Linked DNA regions of Arabidopsis thaliana. The protein of the gene in region 1 binds, or shares a complex with, the protein of each later gene. Each region holds a gene or a part of one and is shown on either strand. Other genes may lie near its edges.

Region 1 (4,939 bases):
AAGGGGTTTATTTGGAACACCTGTGACCATGTCATAACACCAGCCAAGAATGAAAGAGTATGCAGTATTTCATTCTCTGGATCAAGGCCCAACCTCGGTAAAACAGCTCCAGACATCTAAGGTAAAAATGAAAACTTTACAATTGTAATGTAACAACTCTATATTCAAAATGAGATACTGTATACCGAAACCAGATATGTACCTTCCAAAACCAAGGCAAGATCCCAAAGAACAAAATTGCAGAGTCCATAAGTATAGTTACAAACTCATGAACAAAGTGAAAATAGCTGCATATATTAAAGTTCTCAGTGATGATATCCCCTGGCAATTATAAAAAACTAAAATGATATAAATATGATCAAGACGAAACCTTTTGTCAAGACTGTATGCTCGTGATTTCTCAAACTTCTCTTGGCTAATTACACCAACCAAGGTTTTCGGGAGAGTTGGAAGCTTGAGAGCAGTGAGTTGCCTCAGATCCAAATACGTCTCAAAAATGTACATCACTATCATAAAACCTGTAAGAAAAAGAATAAAACAGAAGATGAAATACGAATCTACTCTAAATGCCACAACAACAGATACTCCATCACTGAAAATTCAATAACATCATCTACTTTTTTGATCAACCAGATATAAAAAGATCTCTTGTGCTGACTACTGATGGAAACATTGGAGCACTGAAAGAGTTTTGATGCAACATTCACATACGGTTCCACAACACAAAACCCATTTCAAAAAACTCCAGAAAACTCTAGTTGCAGTCACGAACATAATAATACCCTGACAAGAAAACCCAAAACCTCAAGCTGTATGACTTGAACAAAGAAAAATTTCAAGATTCTCAATTTCCAATCGGGAATGAGGAAAAAAAAGACTCCGACTTTTCTTCCCAAATCCTAGATTTTGGTTAACAGAGAAGCTCCGTACATTCTAAAACCGAGGAAGAGATGATGAAATCACATAAGCTCAAATCAAATCAAACGCACGAGTAAGACAAGAAACTAGTAGGAGTAATAAAACCTCAGATCAAGGTACGCACTATTAGAAAAGAACAAAATTTAGAAACGAGAAGCAGAGACGATGGTATATGAAACAAACGAGTCATGGAATCTCAACACACACAACACAGAAAGCAAAACCCAAACAAAAACGAAATACGATGAGTGAAACAGGATAGTAAAATGTCTCAGAAAAAGGTTTTGAAGCTTACCCACGACGGTTTCCATGAAAGGAATCGCCATGGCTGAGAAAAGAGTGACCTGAACCGCGATGAAAGCAGAAGCAAATCGAAGAAAGCAGAAGCAAATCGAAGAAAGCAGAGGAACGACAAAAGAGAGGTTTTTCGTTTTTGACTCTTCTCAGGTCGGTGTGGATATGTAAAACAACAAAAACACGGGTACGGGTTATACCTTAGAAGCCCAAATAGTAAACGGGCTGAGATTTAGGCCCATATGAAACAACCCCTATATTTTATCTAAAATCTCTAAGTATAATAGTATATTATCAAATATTGGGGCCTTAGTTGAAATATTATGTTTTAAAGGGGCTAAACGGAAAACTCCTTATCCTCAAACTGTCAACAAATTACGAAGGTGCCATTGGGTTTAATCAACAACGAACGCCGAGAGCTCTCACTTCACACTTTATCCACTTGGAGCTTCGACAATGGCGTCTCCTTCGCTTCTGCAGTCTTCCGCTTCTTCGTTTCACGGACGTTTCTCACCATTAGCGGCTCCATCCTCCGCACGAATGCTCTCTCCGCCGCTCAGAAACGTGGTGAAAGTCTCGGCGTCTGGAACTGTACTGGTCGAGAAATCTGAAGCCGAGAAAACTCAACGCCTCAAAACCGCTTACCTCGAGAGGATTATCCCTGCGCTCAAAGAAGAGTTCAAGTACGTTAATATTCACCAGGTAACCCCAAATCCTTCCCCTCTGAGCTCAAACCTAGTTTTTGTTCTGTTGCGATTGATTGAAGTCTAATTCTCAGTGAATTCGAATTTTTTGAGCGAATGTTAAACCTAATTTGCTTTTAATGATAAGTTTGAATTGATTTCTTCTAGAAAATGTAGTGAAGAAGCCTAGATTTAAGATTGTTGTGTTGATAAAATCGTGCTGTTGGGATGTGCCATTTACAAATGTGAATGTGAATTTGTCAATCTCATCATTGTTGTATATCTGCTTGGACATCTTCTCTACCAGGTTCCAAAGGTACAGAAGATTGTAGTGAATTGTGGTATTGGAGATGCGGCGCAGAACGACAAGGGTTTGGAGGCTGCGATGAAGGATATCGCGCTTATCACAGGGCAGAAACCTATTAAGACACGAGCTAGAGCTTCCATTGCTACTTTCAAGATCAGGGAAGATCAACCTCTTGGGATTGCTGTCACTCTCAGAGGAGATGTGAGCTATATTTCTCTTGACTAATCAAACTTTCCTTTTGAGTTATTTATGTATTAACATTTTGTGATTTTGACTGTTGTGACAGGTAATGTACTCCTTCTTGGATCGTCTTATCAACTTAGCCCTTCCGAGAACTCGAGATTTCCAAGGTGTGAGTCCCAGTAGCTTTGATGGGAACGGAAACTACAGTATTGGTGTGAAAGACCAAGGTGTATTCCCTGAAATCAGGTTAGTTCTATTGTATCTACCCTCAAAATCAAAACTACTAACTTGTTATCCGCTGGTTCAACAAGATCAAGCATGGTTTCTCTTTAGTCCCACTCTTTGTTTACAACCGAGCAACTAAACTCTATGTTGGTTGGTTGGTTTATTACACTCTAGGTTTGATGCCGTTGGAAAAACGAGAGGAATGGATGTATGCATCAGCACAACGGCTAAAAGCGATCAAGAAGGACAGAAACTATTGGCTCTAATGGGAATGCCTTTCAGGGAAGGAGGTGGTGGCAGCACAGGCGCGATAGTGCGGAAGAAGAAACTAAAGTCTCATCACTTTGATGCTAAAGGAAAAGGAAAGAGATGATGAACATAGCTGCCTATTGTATGTATCGTCTTCTGTAACCAACCATTTCATGTTTCAGAAAAACCATCTCCTTTTGTAATGCTTTATGAGTCAATTTGAAAATAATATCAGGGATCTTGTTGTTATGGTAAAAATTTATCAAGGTTTTTCTGTAATTTATTGAAAGTTTTGTGGATTATACAAAATGTAGCGCGTGAGTGAACGTGAAAAGCTAGCGCGTGGATTTGTCAATTTTACCTTCCCCTTTGAGAGAAATCGCTCTTCTTTGTAAGACTTGGTTTCGATCTTCTCTTTTTCATCATCAATCGATCAAAACAAACAGCAACAGCAAAATTATCTTTCTGCAGATCGAAACCCTAATTGGTTTCTCCGTTCTCCTTTTGTTCTTCTAGAATCGGCGACTCTTACTTTTTTTTCTTTCTAATTATCCTTTTCTGATGGATTCTGGAATCCATGTAATTCCCCATTAGCGCTAAAAACCCTAGCTGTCGAAGACCTTAGATTACTGCAGAAATGTTATAATCTGTTTTCATCTTTTCCCGATTTGAGGTTTTTATTTATTTTGGTTGGGTGAGAGAATCCGATACGAGAGATTAAAGCCTTGTGAGTTTAGGATGAGCTAGTTTTCTTTGGCTTTGAGCTGTAATTTCTCTTCTCTGAAATCTTTCACTGTACATATAGCTAGATCCTGATGAAGTTGCGTGGTGGTGAATCGTGGTTTAAGTTTTGCTAGTTGAGATATTATTGGTGGTTACTGTAATATCGAAGAATCATATTTCACGGTATTTACTATAGACAACTACTGTAGAGTTACTTGATTAAGGCGTTAAGAAGAGATACTGGTGTTTTTTGGCCTCAATCAGCTAAGATTTTTGTGCATTGTATGATGAGTATAGCAAATGAACAACAATTTGCCATGGATCAACTTGTCGAAACCAATGATGATTCGGAAAAGTATGTTTTTTCTGTTTTTTGTAAAATCCATGTCTCTGTTTTGCTGCTTATTGTACATTTCTCAGCTGCAGTTGCAATTGTTTTCAGGAAACCAAGAATTACATACACGAGGAAGTTTCTTATATCCTTGAGCGAGAAAGACGTTTGCAAGAAGCTGCCAAATCTGCCTGGTGAATTTGATGAAGCACTGTTGCTGTGAGACTCTATCCGATAGTTTTTTTTTTAGTTTGGATTTCTAGAAACTGTGTAAATGTGTTTGATCATGTTGGAGTGACATGTCTTGATTTGTACACTCTTTATTTGAGTAGTGACTTCGAAGATCCTTCACCCGAGCGAGCAAGAATTTCAGGCGATTTTTCGTCGCATGGTTTCAGGCGGAATGACTATAGTTCATCGCCTCCCACCAGGGGGGAATTAGGTACTAACTCTCGAGGCACCCATGGAAGATGGGAAGGGCGCTCTGGTGGATGGAATGATAAAGATAGTGATTCACAGTCAGACCGGGACTCAGGTAGCCGGAGCTTACTCGTATCCTATTCTTTACATGCTGTATGATGACGTTACTACAGTAACAAGGTGGACTAGTATTCTGAATAGTTACCTTGTTGTTATATATGACCTATAAAATACTCCTACGAATTATGTCTTTCTGCAAAAAAGTGTTCATTATTATGATTTCAACTCTATCCATCTGGCTGTTCAATATGCGTAAATGTAGATTTCCACCTTTTTTTAACTAAAGTGAATGGCATGAAGTCTGCTTGTCTAGTGAACATGAAAAGAAGGTCTTTTCGAAAAATTCTGGAATTTGGGTGTATTATAGTTGATTTGGAACTGTGTATTTTGTTAGGAGAGCCTGGAAGGCGTTCTGGTATGCCATCTCGGAGGTCTTGGCAAGCACCTGAGCATGATGGACTTCTTGGGAAAGGTTCTTTCCCTAAGCCTTCTGGATTTGGTGCGGGAACATCTGCCCCTAGACCTCAATCTAATGACTCACATCAG
Region 2 (4,439 bases), on another chromosome or scaffold:
GTTTAGTGTGAGAACTGGTACTGGTGGGGAAGCTACGCTTGAAGTTTTGAAATCCGGTTTCAGTTTTGTGTTTGAACCTGAAGAGAACAGAGTTCCATCCCCAAGGAATGATGATGTAAAAGGTAAAGTAAAAATCAACAAAACTCCAAGTGCTAATGGTTGTTTCAAGGATCAAGCAAAAGGTAATGAATCTCCAAAGGGCCAGTGGCAGACTTACATTGAAAACTCTAGCACTAACATCCCAAGTGAAGCTCATTCTTCCCAAAAAACTGGTTTTGGTTCCACTCTTTTGTGTTAAACTCATAGATTGCCTCTGTTTTCACACTATTTATTCTTTCGAACTCTCTGTATTTGTATCTTCATTGTGTATTTCTCCAGATGATTTGACTTAAGCTTTTAAGGTGTCAGGGTTTAATGGGTTCAACGGGATGTACTCTGTATGCGTGCTTTATGAAATGTATAGCCATTGATGTTGATCTTGGAATTGACTCCATAAACATGCAATGCAAGATAAATCGATCTTCTAAATTTCTCCTGGGACTAGACCGATACAAGATAGATTCAAGAATCAGAGTGATCAACCCATAACTGATATAAACATTTCTAAAAATGTTTTTGCTGAAACTCTTCATCAAACACACTTTAGATCACTTGGCTTAAAAATCTACAATAGAGTGTTTAGACCAAGTGTTGCACTATGGTGAGCAGAGCACATTGCCGTTTCACCTGAATCCAATCTAAAGGGAAATTTTAAAATTCCAATAATGCGGTATACTATACCGTACTCTTTAGAAGCTACATTCCCATTGCTATGGCAGCAAACAGAGCATTTGACAACAACTCCAGCATCAACCGCCACAAAACAGATACCATTGTGCTTTCATTTTCACATATCAAACTTAAACTCTTGTCATCCCAATTCAATTACTACTTGCAGAAATTAATGAGACCCAAAAGGAAAAAAGCAATTATAGAGAAGCAACATAGATGACAATGACGAGAGCTATAAACTATAAAGTTGAGACCTTTAAACTCAAAAACAGAGGAGAAAGGTTGAAGCTTTATAAATCGCAAATTTGGTCCATTCATTCACCAATCAAACACAAACAAACCCAACAACAAACATCAGAAAACTGAAAACACAGTAAACAACAACAAAAGTTCTCAAACTAGATTACAACCAAATCAGCAGATAACTCATACCAACTAGGCAGCGCCTGAAACCAAATCTCCCGCAGCAGTGGCAGCACCACCGTCGTCAGAAGCGAGAGTGAACGGACTCCATTCCGCCGGAAGAGGAGGAAGAGGAGCGTAAACAGTAGGCTTTCTCTTAATGTCCCAAGGCTGAGTCTTCTTCGGCCTCGTCTTCCTGTGATGAGCCGTCGATTTCTTCTGTGGCCTCGACGAACACTCTATCACCATCCCTAATCCTCCTCCATTACCCAATTTTGGAACTTGAAATTGGCGGAGAACCGGAGAAGCAGCAACGGTGACGATTCCGGTACCAAAGATCGCTGACACAGACATGGTTTCCTTATCTTTGTGCAAGTGAAAGTGAGTTTGAGCCTCTTGCTTCGGATTAGAGAAGAACTTCATATCTTCGTTTTCGTTTTTCCTGGGCTTTTTTATTGGGCCTTTGAGGTGTCTATTGGGCCTTTGTATATAGTTATGTAACTCGTTATGCTGCAAGCCTGCAGGCTGCAACAATCTATAAGATAAGAAGAGAACAAAAATTAAATTATTAGTGGCATCGAACTTTTTGTTGCTTAAACGTATCGAACTGTATAACCTCGTTAATTAAAGGAATTTAAGAATAGAGTAGCTGATTAAAAATGTATATTTTGCAATTTGTAAAGATGTCATGTATGATGTATACAGAGTTTTAAATGTTTTCTTTAACCTTAAACCAATAATGCTACAAGTGACTACGAGATAAGGTCTTTTGAATCACTTCTACAATAAAATACATTATTTCGGATTCTGCATCTTTTAATACTACACAAAAAAATACTTTTTTTATTAGTTTGAGTTTTAGGATTTATTTATATTCAAAGTATGCTTATTAAATTAATAAATTTGAATTTTCTTAACTTTGTTGTGTAATTTTTTTTTTCTTTTTTTTATAAACAAGACACGATTCATAGTCAATCCTTATTATGCGAAGTAACACGACTTAGTAGAGTCAAACTCTGGTAAAAAAGGTAGAATCAAATGGATTTAACTACTTAACTAAAAACATATTCTCATTTATGGTGTAATTTAGTTATCGAATTTGAGGAAGAAAACTAACTTTTTGTTTCAAAAAAAACACTATAAAAATGTTTATGTTATCATTGCTTCCTCTCTTTTAAAAAAGAAAATAAAATTAAGCTAGCGAACATTTATGTGAACTGACATTCGAAGACATCCATTCTAGTGGCTTTTAGGGTTTTTCAATGCTGCCAAAGCGACCAATAAATATATTTGTCCAAAACCTGTCTAATACTTATGGTTAATAATGTATTATACCTCAATAACAAGCCTAAGTTAGGCTTCAAACTAGCTACTATCACCAACCTAACCAATTTCACATTATATCAAAATAATCAATTGTCAGCGAAAATTGCGATTGCCATGAAAATTACTCTTCTTTACGTAGACTCAAAAACATTTACTAAAATTATGGCCCAAAATAAGATTACTTTCTTCTACGTGACTAGCATTATCCAATACATTCACCAAATCCACGTGCATCGGATTATCACCCCTTATTTTGTTGTCGACAAATTTGATTCTTTGGGTTCTTTATTTACAATAATAGTACTACGTATCTCTATATCAACAGCTCAGCCACTCGATTACACTAGTACGAAGAGATTCTGTTGGTTAGATCAAATTAGGTATCACAAACCTACGGTACCCATTGTTGCATTAGTATATAGTTTCGCAAACCTTATCCTTATCTTAGCACCGTTGAAATTATAACCGCGAGATAACACTTATCTGACTCTTTTTTTTCTAATCCCACTTATATATCAATCAATTTCATTCATTTTTAGAATCACGAAATTTGATTATTTGTCTTAAGTACGAGTCATCAACCATGGATAGTTAAATAGTTTTTTTTTTTTTAACATCTTGTTTTATTTTATTAGAATTGAAAGAAAGATTACATAGTTATTAGACACACACATATAACCAAAAGATGATTTAAGTTTAAGAAGAAGATACAATCGAACAAGTGAATTAAACAAATTAAATAGTTATACACGATATAACACATACATACATATATATAACACATACATACATATATATATATATATTTGTTTACAATATTATTTGATGGTTTTATATAAACAAATATTAGTCTATTTACAGGTAAGTGTCTTGTATAAAGGCCTAATTTGAGCCAGTTTTAGTCATGTGATTGCATTACATCGAGAAGAGAACCATATATGAATCGATTGCTCTCGTCCGTTTGCACTTTGCATTATTGCGTTATTTTGTTTTCTTGGAATTAGAGTTTGTATTTTGTACTGCACTAGCCATGCCAGCTAAATGAATATACCAGGAATCTTTTGGATACTTTTTTTGTTTATCAATATTTTTATTTCGGACCTTAATTAAAGGAAATTGATCTTGGTCGGAAATATTTATATATTATCTAGAAAATTTTAAAAGATACGTAAAACAAGCTTTTCCTTTATGAAAAACGATCGATTATTATTTAATAGAAATGTATAATAATTTCATGTTAAAAAATGTTAACAGTTTTCAATAGAAATATCGGTTACGTTGCATAAATATTTATCTGACTACAAAGTAACGTTGTGTCAATATAGAGTAAATGACATAACTCCTAAGAATACAAAAGGAATAACTACTTGTCATGAATATTGGAATAAAGACTTATAACGTATTTTCAACTATCTCAAATCATGATGAATACAAAGTAGCCGGCGGTTTTTTCACTAAAAAATAAAAGATGGCGGTCCAAAATTTTATCAAATTAATGATCTTTAATTTTTGTTTGCATCATTTATTAAATTCTCATGTGTATTCTTTAACGATGCAATATAAAAATTACAAGCAAATCATAAGAATGTGGATATGACGACTATGTTTGAAAAGTCGTGATCGGTTGAGATTGCGTTGCAAAGTGGTCTACTCAGCCAAAATACTTCTTAATCACATCAATCGACCTTCAGGTTTGGAGTTTTCTCCATTTTCAATTTTTTCGAATCCTAGTTTTATTAATTTTATCAATCACATGTCCATATTTGATAACTGATATATAACCATACATAATATATAAATAATCAATTTCTTTTTAGGCCTAAAACATTAGGCAATGTCCAGATTTTGATGGCCGTAAAAAATTATTAAGTAGTATTGTTTTTTCGGGAAAGCAATGAATGACCTAAGTTGGTGATTAATTCAACCATTATACGAACACC
Region 3 (5,646 bases), on another chromosome or scaffold:
CAAAACAAACAAACAAGACCACTGTGCCCGCACGCTTCATAGGACGGTTTCCAACAATAACATCTCCGATAAAAACTGATCCAAGCCGAGATTTATCGTCCTTGAGTTCCTTTAGAAAGACTAGAACCGCAGAGAGGATCGAGGTGCTGAAGTCACTGATCACTGCAGAAGACATAGCGAGACGGCCAAGCTCTGAATTCTGGAGCCTAAGCTCAAAAAGAAGGTTTCCAATTACAGGAAACGACGAAAGGCATTGGATCAAATAGATGAAAATGATTTCAAAGAAACTCATAACCGGTTCTCCCTTTTTCGTCCCTACATCTCTTAGGATCAAGAAGAAGATCAAGGCGCAAACCGTTATAGAGAGTAACACTGAGGAAAGACCGATAGCTACAGCTTTTCTCCCGGTGCTGCGGATCAAACTCAAGTCCATTTTAACTCCCATCAAGAACCAAAACATCATGTAGGAACATGCACCCACTAAACCAAACAGAGTCTCTTTATAGTCTTCCGTCGAGAGGAATTTCCTAGCCGGTGTATTCTCCTTAAGAAACGACTTGCTCAAGAGAATCCCAGTCTGGCAAAACCACACAGAATATCAAACATAAGCAATGCAAACAAAGAGGAAGAGAGATTTGAAGATTCAAGAATTGAGTAAAGTTCTTACAAGCATATGGGAGGTGAAACGAATCATGCCGAGACGTCTGAGGAAGAAATGGAAGAATTGCCAGAGAATAGTGACGATAAGGAAAATGATCTGAACATGTGGAAACATGTAATTCCAGAACTCAATGTTTGCTTGAGGATCTGGGAGCTTCGGGGAGGGCCATAGCCCGCTCGAGCTCGGGTTAATAGGCAAGATACCGCAGATCATGTTTGCATCTCTCCATGTATCTCTCAGGTAAGGGATCCTATCACCATTAAACTCCATTGGACAAAACTTGTTAACAAGAACAAAGATGATAGAAACAAGAGAATCATATGATTATAAAAACCGAATCAAGAGCTATAACTGTCTTAAACAAAAAAGGTTTTGGTAACAGAATTGAAGAGAAGCAGTGAAACAAAAAAACATCTGGGTTTTGTCATTAAACAACAACTCTCTAAAAATAGTCAATCTTGTGGGAACAAGAGACGGCGACATAGTTTTTCAGATTTCTGGTTATTTGTTAGTTTTTTAAACAGCTTGTTAGTGTTAATTTAAGCATTCTCATCACTTCAACAGACAAATGAATACAATATAACTTCAAGTAAATATCATAACTTGCAAGAGAATATTATACTTTTAGCGTTTCCAGATTCCAAAAATAGCAAAAATACAAATGCATCAAACAATCTAAAGGAAAAACTTCACAACCTTCAATCCTCACCACAAGAGGCTACTCTCTTTTCCCTCTCTATACGTTCCTGCAAGTTCAAAACACCAAACACAGTGCGATGGACAATTAGCATCTGCGTTTGCGGCTAGACCTTAAAACGCAAAACTCCGTTCAACAGCCAATATTCCCGACCAATGTTTATATGCCGATGTTCAGAGTTCAGAACATCGGTTTAACTACTTATTTCATGCCAATTAAGACACGAACTAAGACAAAACTAATACTTAGTTTCATTTATGGTTAAAAGCCACATGATCATGGAAAATCAAGAAATACCTTGGGATGCAGTAGGAGTCTTGAATCGTTGAAGGTTTAGTTAGCGAAAACATTGATCTTAACTCGAGCAGTGACATCGGGGTGAAGCTTGAGTTCGGCTATGTATTCTCCGGTTTCACGGATTTCTGGGAGAGAGACAAGGCGTTTGTCGATGTCCCTGCAAAACACAGCCACAGAGAAGCAGATAAAACCATATTAGGTTCTTCGAACAACACTAAAAACCAAATGTAGACTGATCCAACTAAACCGCCCACATGAGAAAGCTTGTAGCTTTTTATGTGGAAATGTAAAATTTTCTATGTTGTTACTTTTGGAGCTGTGATTTGATGATGTCGACGAGGTCTTGAGCTGTGACACTGCAGGAAAATATAAAGTTAAGTACAGGCTAAACACTATTCTCAAGACTGTTAAAATCTAGATTTGCTTAAGTAGGACTTACGATCCAAATATCAGTTTGCCTTTACCGCCTTTGCGTTTAACCTTGAAAGCACCAACGGTTTGGAATACCATCGCCAGTTGTTGTGCCTCTTCTTTCACCTGCAAAAAAGGTTCCACGCAAAGAAAAAACCAACAAACAGATGAAAATCAATAACCAAAGAGTTTTTTGGTGATCACTCAAACACCAAAACTTTACATGATGATCAAATAAAAACAATCAATGTATTCATATCAGATTACCCTTTGCTTCTCTGCCTCAATCCGTTCGTCTTCCATCTTCAATTCCCTGGGGGAAAAACACACACACAAAAAGAAAGAAAATGATGTTTTTCTTGTTGATCTTACAACATTGTAGCAAAGTCCCTCGAAATACAAAGGCCTTAGAACCGAATAGTAAGAGCATACAAAAGCGAACGGAAATTTCGAAGTTGAGGTGAATTACTTGAGCAGAAGTGGAGTCATAAGCTGAGCCTTTCCAGTAGGCAAGAGGAAGTTTCTGAAAAATCCAGCTTTCACATCAAGTAATTGCCCTTGCTTACCCAAATCCGTCACATCCTCTTTCAAAATTACCTTAAAGACACAAAACAAGATTTACCATTAGTGTTTCACTTACTCCATTTCTCTACACAGAAACAAAGCTTCAAACCAATTTATCTTCACTACTTGAAACTAAACTGGTAATATAAAGGCGTCTACTTTTCTAATGTTGATTCATCTTTCTTCCTAACTACGCTGATACAAGAACAAAGACGATGTTTTTACACTAAACCCATAAATTAAGCATCTTCAAGTCTTTTACTTTCATCTCCACCAAAATTCTTCAGAAACACAAGCTCAAATCAAAAACTAACTAAAAGCCAAATCAAATTTTTGAAGGAAACCCATGAAAGGTAATGACTTTTACCTTGCGAAGTTTCTTAGCTTTCTTCTGGGAAACAACTTCAAAATTGAACCTTCGCTCAGATACTTTTAGGGTTTCATTTGCACCGCCATTGAAGCTGTGTGACCAACAAGGAGAGGAGCTCCATGAGAGAGACAAAGCTGTCGAAGAAGCCATAGCCAAAGCTGATTTCACTTCAAAGCAGAGATAACAAGAGCGCACAGTTGTAGTAATTGTTATCTTCTTATCGGCTTTTCGTGTGCTTGCTCAAGTGAAGTGACGAATGTTTTTCTTATGTTTCGAATTTGACCCCGTAATTATTCTACTTTTCTGTTTTCTTACTTAAAAGTTTTATAAAGTTCAATTGAGTACCCAAAATTTAACGGTTAAATCGGTTTTATAGTGCTAAAAGTTCCTCTGGATTTTGATTTACAATGTTTGTACTTTGTATGATGATTATACATATACACAACAAATCTACTCGATTTCAGAATGTACATAATCTCTAAACACAAAGTTCTTCTCTTGTTCATGTAAAGCATATGCAGAAGCAGCTGATATCAGTGATAAACCAGCAAGAACCAGTCGAATCTGAACATCAGAAGGAACACCAGCCGTGGCGGCCCAGAAAACCGTCGCGCCAACGAGAAACTTCTTGAGGATTTGGAAACTGTTGTAAGCTCCTTTGCAGGAAGAGCATACTTGTGTATGCTGATCAAATCTATCTAGCATCTGTTTGTTCAAATTTGTCACGTTTTCAGACATGTGTTTGTATATATATAGAGATCAATCAAATGATGTTAGGATGCATGATTGATGGCTCACCTGACGCTTGGTTAAGACAGTGGAAGGGAGAGGTTGGTTAGACGGGGTGGAGCCGAACCATTCAGGCTGACTCTTACCATGCCGTCTGAGCCAGTTTCTGAATGCTAGAACAAAACGGTCTGCCTGGGTTGGAGTGAATGTGAGCTTTGTGTACTGTTTGTTCACGTCGTAGTCTGGTGACTCCATTGATTTAGCGAGGAATACTTTCTCTTGTCCTTGAAGTACGATCATGTCTCCGTCATAGACTAAGTTCGAAGTCCAGTGTTCATACCATCTTGGTACAACCTAACAAGGAACAGCTTCAGAAGAATTTACGTAGTAAAATCGGATTAGAGATGGAATCAAAGTTTGTTTTACCTGCCACCAAGCTGGTCCTGGTACAGAGAACTGAAAGAAGTTACGGGCGCTGCAAACGATGGAACGGGTCTTTCCTGGAGCCATTGGTATATTGAATGAGCAAATCCAAATGACCCATTTTTGATTACCGACGATTGGTAGTTTCGCATCTAACTCAATTCTGTAGACAAGGATACACAATTTCATTCTATGCAACTGTATGCTAACCATTTATTATGTATAGTGAGCAAACTCAACACTCACTTGTTCATAGAATAGCACGGAGCAACAAATTTTGCGGTTATCCTTGGACTGTCATCATTCGCACCTTGGAAACCCCAAGGCCCACTTGACTCCACCTTGAACGGCAATGGTTTGGCTCTGTCTCTTCTTCCTGTAACCTGTTTACAACACGTAATCATCGCCTGAGGATAATATCCCTTAGTGGAAATGCAAACACATTGGGAGCTTTGAGAAAGAAAACAACACCTTGTGATGAGCAAAATCTATATGGGAAGGATCAGATACATTTTCCATGAGAGTATCATATCCATAGAAAAGATCCCTTTGAATTGTCACCGTCGAAAATTCCGGTTTATCGAAATCATCCGGCAACCTTTTATGTTAAAGATCAACGCATTTAATAAAACGAGTAATAAAACGAGTATGCTATGTTCATGGAAGCCTGAGAAGATAATCATTTTCGTTACCTAGGGGGTTCAATTGAATTGGCTCTATCCCAACCATTTTCATCAGGCCACACAAAGAGAAGACCTTGAGACACCATTGTCGGGAACTTAATAGCACAAGCTCTCGGGGATTTAACAGCACGAGCTTCAGGACCTGAAGTAGCAGCCTGAGGAATCCTAGTGCAAGATCCACACCCACCAAATGACCATCCATGATACGAACATTGCAAGTGTCCATTCTCATCCAACCTTCCTTCCTACATAACCACAATGCATCAACACATACACAAACACATCAATGAGTCAAGCTCAAAACTTTGGTTACATACACAACAAAGTTTACTTCTTTTTGCTCATAAGTCATAACAATAACAACAACACAAAACTGTTCTGATTCTGACCCTAATATTTTATTCTTTGAAGCTTTTAACCTAATTGATATACTTTAAAAATCAAAACTTTACAATAAACAATCATCTACAATAATTTATTCTTCTAATCCAAATCCAAATCACAGTTATAAACTACTTGAACTGTTTCTTCCAAGAGAGAGAGATTACAGATAAAGGAGCGAGCCGGTGAGGGCAGAGATCATCAAAGGCTGCCCATTTCTGATCATTCCGATCAAACCAGAGTACAAGGTCTCGACCCAAGAGCTGGAACGGGGTTGGCACATTCGGATCCAAATCCTCAACCAAAGAAACTGGATACCAATGATCTCTCCACTTAAACTCAGACCCTTCTTCTTCCTTATCTCCGCCGTATTCTTCTTCGATCCGCTTCTCCTCCGTCGAATCCGAAGTGGGTACAGACGGCGGCGCCG
Region 4 (4,969 bases), on another chromosome or scaffold:
TAAATCTATTAGGAGAAGCTGCATCTGAGATAACAGTTGTGGATTTAAGTGATGGTGAGAGAGGAGAAGAAGAAGTAGAAGAAGAAGAAGAAGAAGTAGTAGTAGAAGAAGAAGAAGAAGGAATTGTAACAACAGAAGAAGATCAAGAAAAAAACAAACCACAAAAGCTTACTTGTCCGTTATGTCGTGGACATATAAAAGAATGGGTAGTTGTTAAAGCAGCTCGATGTTTCATGAACTCAAAACATAGAAGCTGTTCTTGTGAGACTTGTGATTTCAGTGGAAGCTATTCCGATCTGAGAAAGCACGCAAGGCTTCTACATCCAGGAGTTAGGCCATCAGAAGCAGATCCAGAGAGACAGAGAAGCTGGAGGAGGCTAGAAAGGCAGAGCGATTTAGGGGATTTACTTAGCACACTCCAATCTTCTTTTGGAGGAGATGAAATAAGTAACGATGATGGGTTTCTATTTGCTGATACTCGCTTGCTTACAGTGTACTTTCTCATCCGCGTGTTTAGACCAGAATCGAGTGGCTCAAGGAGTAGTAGCTGGTCTGGTACATCTAGAGCTAGGACACATACAAGTGGGAGAAGAAGATCTTCAAGACCTGCAAGTCTTTGGGGAGAGAGCTATGAAGGTAATACAGGAACATCACCTAGAGATGAGGAGAATAATCAATCTTCTGATGAACAAGTGTCTGGAACTCGGAGACGTCGTTCTAGAAGAAGAACTGTCATTGATGATGATGATGAAGAAGAAGAACCGTGATGCTCTGCAGTTTGGAAATTTGGTCTTTGGAGTTTATGATAAAATGGGGGAAACCTTGTAGTAATAACCCCACTTATGAAACCCTATTATGTAAAATTTCTTTGGAGATTGAAAAAAGTTTCTACTATTGGGAAACAAAATGTTCAATATTTCATTACCGTTTAAATATCTTTTTGATAATGACTCTTCAAACAACAAAATGTAAATCTCTTCACCATACAAAAAGACAAAGGAATTGTAATTAACATTTGTCATAGACAATTATCTTCTCTGCAGCTTTACAACACTAAAAAGAGCTTGAAACTGAAGTAATTTAAGCAGAGGCTGCTGGCTCTGAAGTTGCTGCTTCTGCTGCTGCAGCTCTCTTCTTGGCAAAGTATTCATCTGCTCGTGCTTGGTTCTTTGCAACAGATGGCTTAACCCATTTCTTTCTTCCCGGCAACACAGTGAGTGTACAACCTGAAGCTTCAAGCTTCTCTTTTGCTTGTGTTGAGAAGGCACGAGCTTTGAAGGTGAGCTTCATGCTTAGTTCTCCTGTACCCAGAATCTGAAATCCAAGACCAATCAAAACGTTTAAATAAAGAAAGAAAAGACGAAAGCACAATCGAAAGAAGTAGGATCAACAAGTTTGGAAAACTAACCTTAAGAGGGAGTTTCCTTTCTCTCCCTGAAGGATTAATCAAACCCTTTTGCTTCAATGTCTCCAATGACACTTCATCTCCCTCTTGAAACCCAGCTGTTTCTATGTCTTTGATATTAACCGGTAAGTATTTAGGTAATCCTGAACGCATACCTGTTTAAAGAACACAGTAACGCAACGATGCATCAGAAATATATCTCTATTGGTTTGAGCTAATTAGCAAAATCGAACCATGAAATATCTCTATTCACTAACTACAATCTTGATCCATAGTTGTCAATTCATGGCTCTCTTACCCAATATTAAATCTATGAAACAAATGTGCCCTAACTAAATAAAACTGAAAGCAGCATCACCAAATTTAAACAGAGCCTTTTGGATGAGACATTTCATCGAACATTTGGGCTACACAAAACTTGGATACCAAACAAAAACAAAACTTTACCTCCAGCGATTCCTCTAAGTTTGGGAAGACGACGATAAAGAGCAGTTTGACCACCTTCAAAGCCTCTCATAATCCCAGGACCCGATCTTGATTTCTGACCTCTCATACCAAAACCACAACTTGCTCCTTGTCCTGCAGAGATACCTCTACCTTTTCTCTTCTGCTTCTTCCTCGAACCTGGCTGTGGTCCAAGATTATCCAAACGGAATCTCTCCGGAGCTACAACTGCCGACGACGTAGCCGCCGTTTGGCTAACCACAACAAGGGGTCTCGCAAATTGCTGTTGGTTTCTCGTTTTAAGGGTTTGGTTGAGTTTCAGAGATAGAATCTGACTTGGGTTTGCCCCCAAAACACTTACATTTCCCTGTACACATTTCAAATTCCAATTTTACGGATTCATTCAAAATTGACATTTGTAGAAGAATGAGAGATTACCTTGAATGAAGTAGAAGATAAGTGGAGACGGTAACAATGGCGGGAGGTGAGAGGATTTGATGAGATTGAGAGTGGAGTAGCCATGGTCACAGGGAACAACAGATGAAACAAAGCTTCAAGGATAAGGTTGAGGAAGATAGATAGAGAGAGATAACTTTCTTGAGAAACTTAAGAGTTAAACGACATCGTCTTACATAATCACTTAATTGTTTATTGGGCCTTTCACAGCAAATTTAGGCCTTTTCGTTTTCAATAAAAGAGTCGTTACTCGTTCGTATCAATTCGTTTGTGTCCAAAGTGGGTTTTCAGATAAGCTCATGTCTGAATTAGTCGGGATGATCAAGACACCAGTGCCAATAAAAGAAACGATAAGAAATTATAGTATTTATACTAACTTGATATATATAAACACAAATATTTATACACATAACACAATTATAAGTTCAAACTACAACCCCAAATCAACACCTGAAACTACAACCCCAAATCATTACACAATCTCAATTAACCACATAGAAAATTATATATATTGGTGAATTTTGTAACTTCCTTAATCTTTAATCTTTGCGAAGTCTTTTCTTCACGACAAGAAGAGAACAATCTGTATTTTGTGTACACCTGCATTTAATTAAAAGATGTTTGTTATCTCAACTTTTCCATCAATACTAAGTTTTTTAACTGATATTTTGAAATTAAAAGATGTTTCTTACTTTTTGAGACTTTGTTGATCGCTCGTAACTATTAAATTGATATTTCGTTCTTGAATTATCTTGCGGATTAGATCTTTAGGGTCTCCATCATCAGTAAATGTCTCTGCCTTGATCTGTTTTCAACATGATTATGATGAGATCATGAGACTAAAATATTGCAACAAATGGTTGTCATGAAAAGAACTTCATTTTTTTCTTTTAAAACTTTGGTATTTAAAAATATATATATGATATTGTATTAATAACAAGTTAAATGATTCAGTCAATAGATTATTACCCCATGATTTAAACATATCTTCTTGGCTTTCTCTAATATACCCAAAGCAATTTTCATATTCTTTTCTTGAGCCAATCTTATGAGTTCTGAATCTGCAAAACACACATAAAAACTGATCAATTTTCAACAAAAGAAAGTACTAGGTGAAAATGGATAGAAAATTTGATATTTATTGAAAACTCCCAACAAATTAGTCGATAAAATGACTTACTAGGTGAAAATGGATAGAAAATTTGAGCAAAGCCGACTGATGAAGAAAGTACGGTAGGAGGAGTAAAGGAATTTTGTGGCTGTTTTGCAAAGATATAAACTTTGGAGCTCTCAATGGTATCTTTTTGGTTTTCAAGTGCCCAAATGAGTAAATCATAACTTGCGTTGCTCTCGTCAATAATCAGCATAACATTCTTCATCTTCTCTCTTTGTTTCTTCTTCTCCTTTCTTCTTCTAGCTTCTGCTAAAACCTCTTGTCAATGTGCAACTTTATAGTATATTTGGAAGTGGATTAACTTGTCAAAGGAAGTAATATAAAAAAAAATCTTAGGTGATTGGGTAATTGAAAGGCATGGGTTAACGACTTGATTCTGGCTTCTTCTCGTTTGCAAAATAAAATAAAATTATACACACAAGTAATACTATATTAAACCCGTGTGTAGTGGCAAAGTAGGTTTGGATTAGAACCAAAAGCGTAAAATCGCTATAACTTCAAGTTCAATCCCACAATATGCAATCATTTAAAGAAATTACATAACGATTTATAGTGATTTAATCTCCATGTTATATCACTTGATCATTTAGATTTCGGTTCAGATTCTGCTTAACTTGTGATGAGTTTGCGGAAAACGTTTTACTGAAATTTTCAAAAGACTAGTCATATGCTTATTCAAATTAGGATAGAGACAATGCTAAGTCTAACAAAAAAACATTTGTATATCAAAAAAGAAAACAATCGAATAATATGATCTCATTCTACAACATATTACCAATTCTCCATTGAAATATTCCATTAATAAAATGGTGTGAGTGGACCGGTGTTTGGTAACTGCCGGATACACGCCATTGATGACATAAAACATTATTCTCTTTGTCGGAATTTTTAATCATAATTAAATATCATTAGAGAGAGTTGGTAAAAGAAAAGACATAATTAGCTAAACGGGCTAAAATGAAAAGTTAATGGGCCAAACAGACATATATCCAGCCCATTATAATCTCTGCATCTCCTACCTCTGAATCCCAAAAACCCTAGCGATTTTTTTCTTCTCTCCCGAGACGCTCTGTGATAGCGAAAGCATCTGTTGTAATCTAAGGTACTCGATGATTCTCCTTTTCCATTTTAGTTCTCATTTGAAGTATATAGAACTGTAAAAATTTGTTAAAGTTATAATTTTGGGTTTTAACGGAATTTAAAGTCTCGAACTTTCGATTCTGAGTATGATTTTGATGCTCATAGTACTACTCTTGAAATTTTAGATGATGTTAATGGAGATATTTAGCTTAAAGATGCTTACTTTACTCATCTGTTGAGCATAGGATCGTCTTAATCTTTTTACTCATTACTTGTAAATTTCTTCAAGCAATTGAGACATGTAGAGATGAGTTATGTTTTTTTCTTTTTTGGTGTCATTGTGTTAAAGGTTCTGTAATGGAGAAATCTAGAGAAAGCGAGTTCTTGTTCTGTAATTTGTGTGGGACTAT

What was found.
Region 2: AT4G01310 (region 1) and PSRP6 share a complex: the UniProt entries of both Arabidopsis thaliana proteins name them as parts of the 50S ribosomal subunit.
Region 3: AT4G01310 (region 1) and RPL9 share a complex: the UniProt entries of both Arabidopsis thaliana proteins name them as parts of the 50S ribosomal subunit.
Region 4: AT4G01310 (region 1) and RPL15 share a complex: the UniProt entries of both Arabidopsis thaliana proteins name them as parts of the 50S ribosomal subunit.

What each region holds. Positions count from the first base shown.
Region 1 is NC_003075.7:542,210-547,148, reverse strand, and holds AT4G01310 (Ribosomal L5P family protein), read left to right. Parts: upstream 1-1,582; 5' UTR 1,583-1,668; coding exon 1,669-1,914; intron 1,915-2,202; coding exon 2,203-2,403; intron 2,404-2,488; coding exon 2,489-2,631; intron 2,632-2,784; coding exon 2,785-2,983; 3' UTR 2,984-3,238; downstream 3,239-4,939. Other genes in the region: ATSTE24 (Peptidase family M48 family protein), read right to left, coding at 21-116, 203-287, 371-518, 1,214-1,244; AT4G01290 (chorismate synthase), read left to right, coding at 3,867-3,937, 4,025-4,132, 4,246-4,448, 4,788-4,939. UniProt on the Arabidopsis thaliana protein: Binds 5S rRNA, forms part of the central protuberance of the 50S subunit.
Region 2 is NC_003076.8:5,904,905-5,909,343, reverse strand, and holds PSRP6 (plastid-specific 50S ribosomal protein 6), read right to left. Parts: upstream 1,756-4,439; 5' UTR 1,597-1,755; coding exon 1,207-1,596; 3' UTR 880-1,206; downstream 1-879. Other genes in the region: CSA1 (disease resistance protein (TIR-NBS-LRR class)), read left to right, coding at 1-272, 409-470.
Region 3 is NC_003074.8:16,384,009-16,389,654, reverse strand, and holds RPL9 (ribosomal protein L9), read right to left. Parts: upstream 3,261-5,646; 5' UTR 3,151-3,260; coding exon 2,998-3,150; intron 2,664-2,997; coding exon 2,536-2,663; intron 2,380-2,535; coding exon 2,334-2,379; intron 2,193-2,333; coding exon 2,095-2,192; intron 2,012-2,094; coding exon 1,964-2,011; intron 1,813-1,963; coding exon 1,692-1,812; 3' UTR 1,656-1,691; intron 1,408-1,655; 3' UTR 932-1,407; downstream 1-931. Other genes in the region: CHX4 (cation/H+ exchanger 4), read right to left, coding at 1-577, 668-931; ACD1 (Pheophorbide a oxygenase family protein with Rieske 2Fe-2S domain-containing protein), read right to left, coding at 3,451-3,705, 3,799-4,083, 4,156-4,315, 4,399-4,535, 4,624-4,750, 4,845-5,080, 5,384-5,646. UniProt on the Arabidopsis thaliana protein: Binds to the 23S rRNA.
Region 4 is NC_003074.8:9,490,188-9,495,156, forward strand, and holds RPL15 (ribosomal protein L15), read right to left. Parts: upstream 2,469-4,969; 5' UTR 2,372-2,468; coding exon 2,288-2,371; intron 2,217-2,287; coding exon 1,853-2,216; intron 1,561-1,852; coding exon 1,409-1,560; intron 1,315-1,408; coding exon 1,081-1,314; 3' UTR 868-1,080; downstream 1-867. Other genes in the region: AT3G25910 (MAP kinase kinase kinase, putative (DUF1644)), read left to right, coding at 1-767; AT3G25930 (Adenine nucleotide alpha hydrolases-like superfamily protein), read right to left, coding at 2,845-2,905, 2,998-3,110, 3,275-3,366, 3,486-3,684; AT3G25940 (TFIIB zinc-binding protein), read left to right, coding at 4,917-4,969.